2 linked regions of the Callithrix jacchus genome follow. The protein of the gene in region 2 interacts with the protein of the main gene of each other region in a pairwise test. Links are inferred from orthologs where the notes say so. Each region holds a gene or a part of one and is shown on either strand. Other genes may lie near its edges.

The links. The genes of interacting proteins can lie anywhere in the genome.
Region 1: the proteins of ESRRG (region 2) and NR0B1 interact in binary tests that used the Homo sapiens proteins (3 or more experiments, as listed by UniProt). The link is inferred for Callithrix jacchus from reciprocal best matches to the Homo sapiens genes ESRRG and NR0B1.

What each region holds. Positions count from the first base shown.
Region 1 is NC_133524.1:31,194,502-31,198,742, reverse strand, and holds the start of NR0B1 (nuclear receptor subfamily 0 group B member 1), read left to right. Parts: upstream 1-1,441; 5' UTR 1,442-1,467; coding exon 1,468-2,635; intron 2,636-4,241. UniProt on the Homo sapiens protein: Nuclear receptor that lacks a DNA-binding domain and acts as a corepressor that inhibits the transcriptional activity of other nuclear receptors through heterodimeric interactions.
Region 2 is NC_133520.1:12,667,716-12,671,215, forward strand, and holds part of ESRRG (estrogen-related receptor gamma), read left to right. Parts: intron 1-3,305; coding exon 3,306-3,500. UniProt on the Homo sapiens protein: Orphan receptor that acts as a transcription activator in the absence of bound ligand. Binds specifically to an estrogen response element and activates reporter genes controlled by estrogen response elements.

The DNA.
Region 1 (4,241 bases), on a different chromosome or scaffold from region 2:
GGAGGAAAGAAGGAAGGAAAGAAGGAAGGAGGGAAGGAAGGAAAGAAGGAAGGAAGGAGGGAAGGAAGGAAGTAAATGAAAAACAAAAAAAGAAAAGAAAGAGGGAGGAAGGGATGGAGGGAAAAAGTAAAAGGGATTCTATACAAGCTGGAATATACCAATACCCTTCCCTGCCCCATGTCTTCACAGCTGTGTGGCAAGTGAAGACCAATGAATCCAGGCTTCCTCATGCTTGTACTTATCATTATTCACTTAGGAAGGGTGAGAAAAGAAATGCTAATTACACGTTTACCGAATTACTTTTACAAGAATCAAAATTTCTCACTGCAGTCAAGAAAAAGAATGAGATAGAGCTGGAGGCCATTATCCTTAGCAAAGTAACACAGGAACAGAAAAGCAAGTATCATATGCTCTCACTTATAAGTGGGAGCTAAGTAAAGAGATCACATGGACACTAGGAGGGGAACAACAGACACTGGGACCTACTTGAAGGTGGAGGGTGGGAGGAGGGAGAGAATGAGAAAAAATACTGGGTACTATGTTTAATACCTGGGTGACAAAATAATCTGTACACCAAACCCCCACAACAAGCAAAAATTGACATATAACAAACCCGCACATGTACCCCTGAACCTAAAAGTTAAGAGAAAAAAATTGTATTAAAATAAAAACAATTCTCACTGTGACAATATTATCCCCTTGTGATTATATTATGTTCCCAAGTTTTAGGCACTTTCATATCCTGTTCGCTGCCCCCAGCTCTCTTAACACAGCATCTAGGACATAGTGGGCGCTTATAAATACTGATGATATTAAACTGAGCGCTTATGATAGCATATTTAGACCAGTGCGTTTCAAATGTCAAGGTGCATGTGAATCCCTGGGGACATCGTTAAAATGCAGATTCAGAGTTAGAAGGTCTGGTTGGAGCCTGAAATTGGGCAATTCCACCGACTGCCCATATGATGCTAGTCTACGTTCTATATTTCTCAAGGTCTCAGAAAATGAGACCTCCCTATCCATATACAAAATATAAGTCACACAAACTGTGATCATTTAATGAAAGTTTACAAGGAGCATAGAAGTAGATGTTTCCTCTTTTAGGCACCCCTGCCCTCCCAAAAAAAGGAGATGCGAGGGTTCAACGGAAAGTGTTGCAACAGCGTCCAGGCGCTCACTCTCCCGCGGTCTTCCAGAGACAGGGAAAGGGGTAATGAGAGGAAGGAGGGAAGTGTCCAGGAGCTCCCACGCTGCTGTTCCTTTTTCATTTCCAGCTTTTAAGGAGCACCCGCCCCTTCGAACCACCGTGGTCACGGGCGAACACACCGGAGAGCAGCGCCGCGCCCCCCTGCCCGCCTCCGCGCCCTTGCCCAGACCGAGGCGGCCGACGCGCCTGCGTGCGCGCTAGGTATAAATAGGTCCCAGGCGGCAGCCACTGGGCAGAACTGGGCTGCGGCGCCGCGGGCCATGGCGGGCGAGGACCACCAGTGGCAGGGCAGCATCCTCTACAACATGCTTATGAGCGCGAAGCAAAGGCACGCGGCTCCTGAAGCTCCCGAGGCGCGGCTGGGGGATCAGTGCTGGGGCTGTTCGTGCGGCGATGAGCCCGGGGTGGGCAGAGAGGGGCTGCTGGGCGGGCGGAACGTGGCGCTCCTGTACCGCTGCTGCTTTTGCGGTAAAGACCACCCACGGCAGGGCAGCATCCTCTATAGCATGCTCACGAGCGCAAAGCAGACGTCCGCGGCACCGAAGGCGCCCGAGGCTAGGCTGGGTCCGTGCTGGGGCTGTTCCTGCGGCTCTGATCCTGGGGTGGGCAGAGAGGGGCTCCCGGGTGGGCGGCCCGTGGCGCTCCTGTACCGCTGCTGCTTTTGCGGTGAAGACCACCCGCGGCAGGGCAGCATCCTCTACAGCTTGCTCACGAGCGCAAAGCAAACGCACGTGGCTCCGGCAGCGCCCGAGGCACGGCCAGGGGGCGCATGGTGGGACCGCTCCTACTTTGCGCAGAGGCCAGGGGTTAGAGAGGGGCTATCAGGCAGGCAGGCCATGGCTCTTCTGTACCGCTGCTGCTTTTGTGGTGAAGACCATCCGCAGCAGGGTAGCTCCCTCTACAGCATGCCCACGAGCACAAATCAAATGCCCGCGGCTCTGGGGGAGCGGCCGGGGGCCACCTGGTGGGACATCTCCTGTGGTGCGCTGCGACCCGTGGTGCTCAAGAATCCACAGGTGGTCTGCGAGGCAGCCTCAGCGGGCCTGTTGAAGACGCTGCGCTTCGTCAAGTACTTGCCCTGCTTCCAGGTGCTGCCCCTGGACCAGCAGCTAGTGCTGGTGCGTAACTGCTGGGCACCCCTGCTCATGCTGGAGCTGGCCCAGGACCACCTGCAGTTCGAGACTGTGGAAACCTCAGAGCCCAGCATGCTTCAGAAGATCCTGACCACCAGGCGGCGTGAGACGGGGGGCGACGACCCACTGCCCATTTCCACGCTTCAGCCTCGTTTGGCACCGCCGGCGGAGGCCAGGCAGGTGCCTTCCGCCTCCCAGGTCCAAGCCATCAAGTGCTTTCTTACCAAGTGTTGGAGTCTGGAAATCAGTACCAAGGAGTACGCCTACCTCAAGGGGACCGTGCTCTTTAACCCGGGTAAGGGTACTGGCCTTGGGCGCCGGCTTTTCCCACCTCACAAAAGCATCGGGCAGTGCCTATCTAGGGGTGCAGGCAATAAGGAGATTTCAGTGATCAGGAGAGTGTCGGGGCAAAGGTGAAGAAATCATGACTAATTCAGCAGAGTTGGGGTGGGGGGCTCCAGGAACCGCTTCTTTTTGGTGGGATGCGGTCAGAAACTCAGCGGAGAGGAGGGAAGTTGTTTAGGTTTGTACTTAGCTCTCGACACATTTCTTACAATAGAAAGGTTTGTGTCTTCATGGGAAATGGTTATTCTTTCTTCTCTAGTTTTCTTTTAAGTCTAGAGCATATCTTTTTTTTTTTTTTTTAAGCTTTTGCTCACTGAAGATTCTGCAACATCTATTTCTGAAACCCCATTCTGAAATTTACTAGAACCTCTTTTGGGGGGAGGAAATCTATTAAGGCTAGCGAAAAAGGAAACATTTGTTAAAAGGTCCCATAGAGACACCATTCTCTAGGGACACTGTCAGGCAGGACACTGAATGTAGTGTTTCATGGGCCTGCCTCTGAATGGTTATTTGTATGGTCCTAAGCATCTGGACTATCCCTTCCTCCAAATTTCTGTGAATAATATCAGGTTGGTAAGGGGATAGGGGAAAAAAAGACACATTAGGGACTGAGAGCAGGAGCACTGTATTTTAGAATTCAAAGAGACCTTAGAGACCTCCTAATCAACCCCCTTTTCTCTGTAGCCTTCCCCCACCCCATTTTACTGAGTAGGTAGTTGGGTCCCAAGGTTCCAAGTGACCTTACTCCGGAGTAAATGGCTGGTGTGTTGTGGAACCTGAGGGTCCTATCTTCTGGGCCCAATGGGATGTCGGCTGCACCAAGCTTTCAGGCTGTCTGTTGGGTGCTAGACACACTGTCCCACAGAATGCAACCAAAATCATTGGAGGAACGTCTCCCTGGACAGCCAGGCATCTTGTCTTGGGTGTTTCTCGCTACTAGAATCTTCAACCAACATCTTTTCAAATGATTGAAGTGGGAACAAAATTTTCCAGGCAACTTGAGTGGGGCTAGTTTTTATAATGCTCCTTCTGTATCTTTTTTCCCTGATGCTGGAGTCTGTGATTATGTTCCTGCCCCCTGCCTAGCATTTTTGAAGGTGTATAGATAAGTATTTGGTGGGATAATAATTCATTCAAACTTCACTTTTCATGACATAGAGACCTCAGCTCACCCCAGTGACTATTACAGATTATCTTTTTGCTTATACCATTGTTTTCCAAACTTGCCTGTGCATAATGAGTACTTGTGTGTGTGGCTGGGGGTGGGAGGCAATAGATGAAAGTCTTTCCAGGCTCCTGCCTTATAGATTCTGATTCACTAGCTTTGGCCCAGGGTCTGCAAATCTGCATTCATAATAAGTGTCCCAGATGATTCTTAAGATAATTTAGAAAACAGTCTCCATACTCCTTCAGCCATTTTTAATCATCCACTGCGTTCCTTGTCCTGTTGGGATATAAAGGTGACAGGGGCTCAGCTTCCAGAAATTTACACTCCAATGGTCTCAGTATCAATACTTTCCCTCTTTTCTTTCCCTGTTTTATATAATTCACACACA
Region 2 (3,500 bases):
TCACAGAGTAAAATATTGGATGTTATGATAAGGTTCTATTTTATTATTAGGTGTTGAGACTTAATATAGAGGCCATTATATGTGTTGCCTCTATGTAATCAGAATAAAAAATACATATGTCACTTATTAAGCACCTATTTCAGGTGAACGTGGCCTCATTTTACCTCCCCAAACCCTGGAAGACAGGTGGCACTGGTAACATGTCAGTCTCAGGTTTAAATTCAGTCATAGACACTCTGGTTATCTTTTGAAATCTTGATTCTTTCAGAATAGTATTTGTTTGTCTTACTGTCTAATGCAGTAGTTCTCAATCCTGGCTTGGCAGTAGAACTACCTAGATTTTTCGCAATGCTGATATCCTAGTTCTGGTCTCTGACTTACTAGACTTGGGGCCAGTAACCAAGTTTTTTAAGACCTCACCCAGTGTTTCCTGTCTAGTTAGTTCATAAACTCATGATTGCTATTAAGTTTAGCTGGTTCCCATTAGCACAAACACTAGGACTATTTCCTTTAAAGCCTAGTTTAAAAGAAACTAGCACGAACTATGAAAACTAAATAATTACATACATTAATACCAGTTCTATTGAGCCTGGCATCAACATGTAAATTTAACCAAAAGAACAAAACAGAGATTAAAACCACAGATCCAGAACTTGAACTAGGATCCCTAATGGAGATTAATATTTTCTTCAGCAGTCTGCCAGCTGAATCATTGTCTAATTAAATAGTTCAGATTTAGTGAGTTTGCATTTAAAGTATTAGCAGATCTGAGAATGGGTAAAGCTAAAATGAGTTAGAATCTTTTCTGCAAATGGGAAGTTAAATTATCATAGTAATTTGATTAAATCATTTTTAAATCTCTCATGCTAAATCACAGCCTTTAAAGAATAGTTTGAAGTCTTAATTGCTGTTTGTGAGCATATCTCTCTGCTATTTGTTCTCGCCTCATTTCCCCTGACATCCTATAATATATCTCCTGCCGGGCAAGAGTAGTGGGAAAGGCAAGACTAGGGGTAGGTAACTGTGTAGCTGACTTCAAGCATTTAAAGATATGCCATGTAGGAAAAAGAAGTTTATCCCGTATTGTTCCTACTAGAACAGGACCACAGGATAGAATTTGGAGACATATTTAGGAAAATTTTAAAAAGACAATAATTAGTTTTGCCTGTTGTCAAGGAGAATCTACGTACTTAATATACGCCTGGCAATGTCTTCATTAGGAATGTTATAAAGATGGCTGATGAAGATGGGAGTTTGAATGGGATGTGTTTAGAGAACAGTCCATCTCATTTTTTAAGGGAATGCATGTTTAGTGTTCTGTATTCCAGCAGCATGATTGATTTGAAGAATCCTGAATTTAAACCTGAGACTGACATGTATTACCAGTGCCACCTGTCTTCTAGGGTTTGGGGAGGTAAAATGAGGCCATGTTCACCGGAAATAGGTGCTAAATAACTGGTAAATGTATTATTTTTATTCTGGTGTGTTTTAGTCTAGTTGGAAAATAGGTATTTCAAGGTTGACTTTTCACTGCAGTGTGTAATTCCCATTTTCTCCTTCCATCTATTCCTGTTTTCCTGTAGAGAGCTAATCATTAGACTCCGGATAAGTTGGGAAAGTCCAACTCATCTCTGCTCCCTCATGCACAAGGTCCTTATTGCAGTCTTTTGTCTACCTAAAGACTCGCCATAGTGATTCCCCATGCCCCCCATTTTTCCTTCAGGTAGCAATAAAGTGCAAAACTAGAGAGAAAGAATATCAGAGCATGTTGCCATCATCTCTATGACTGTGTTTTCTGTCCCTAACTTCACCAACTCTTAGACAACTTTAGAAATTATGTTTGTTTGTTTCTAAGAGCACTATAGGAGGTGGATGAGATTGCCATGCTGAGAGGAACCAGACTGGAGAGAAGCTGGGTAGAAACAATCCCCAGGGAAAGGCCAAGCGTATGTTGGGGAGTGACCTGAGTCTTGCTCCAGGGCACTACTATCAACACTATTTCCCACTTGGAAGAATTCCTTCCTTTTTGCTCTGCCAGGCAGAAATTGAGTGTTGAGCAATAAGCAACTTTATTCCAGATTATTCAAAAAATTTTTACGGAGTTGTCATTAAACTACCTATTGTGAATAGTGGTCAGTTCACCAACGATGTGACCACTAATGACTCAAATGCCAATGTAAAGGAAAAAAAAGAACATTGAATAAAATACAAATACATCTTTAAGATCTGTTCCTAGTTATATCCATCTCTCTTTTAATTACTTTGCCATATTTCTTATTATATGTTTAGCCACTTGATTTTAAATTACATTCCCTCTTTTTGTTCATGTGATCTATGTTTGAATTATATGAAAGATTAGGCTAACTACATATATCTTAGAGCTCAGCATTCTCAGAGAACTAGAATTATTAAACATGAAGAATCCCCCAAAGACTCCATTATGTGTAATTAACAGATAAACTGTCATCAGAATCAATAAAACGTGCTAAATGATTCAAACTTGTATATAATTAAGTGTCTGCTTTAGAGCTGGAGCTGTAACTTTTATTTTTTTCCCCACATCTCACATTTCTCACAAGAATAATTGTGGCAACCTTGTTAACCCTTTCTTTGCTTGATTGAATTAGATTTTCAAATTTGTCATTTAAGGGTAAAGTTCACCTTTACAAATGTGAAAAATATTTCAGAACTCAGTGATCTGAAGATACCATTTGTTTTTAATCAGGGAAGAAGACTATGTCAGGATGCTTTAATGAACTGATACTAGAACATTAAATATCTTAAAAGGATAAATAATTTATTGTGATTTCTGTATAGTGCTAGATTCCATGCATTCACATGGAGTTCTTAGGATCTTAGTCATCAACTTTTTTCCTCCTTTTTGGGAAATATTGGCTTTTTGCAAGCAATATCATAATTTTAAACAACCTTCCCCTACACAGCACTAAGGATAATACTTTTAATAGATGGCCTTCCATGGTTGTTTGTTGAGTGAATGAATATATACCTGGATGAGGCAATGAATAAAATAGTCAAGATTATAATATGTTAGAAGAAAGCCTTCTCTTGCTCAGCCTGAAGAGGAAAAATACACATTTTAAATAATTGATCTTTTCTAATAATTCCCATCTTCCACGTTAGTATTTGAAATTATGTAAGGAAATGTAGAAATAGGTTGTAGAAATGTGAGACTCTGAACAGATCAGTTTCAAACTTAGAAGTTCAAAAATAACTAATTTTGTAACTCTAGACTATATGGGTTTGTTATTAATGTGATGACTTATATCTTTTGCTTCATTGCGCAGACTCCATGCACATAGAAGATGTTGAAGCCGTTCAAAAGCTTCAGGATGTCTTACATGAGGCGCTACAGGATTATGAAGCTGGCCAGCACATGGAAGACCCTCGTCGAGCTGGCAAGATGCTGATGACACTGCCGCTCCTGAGGCAGACCTCTACCAAGGCCGTGCAGCATTTCTACAACATCAAACTAGAAGGCA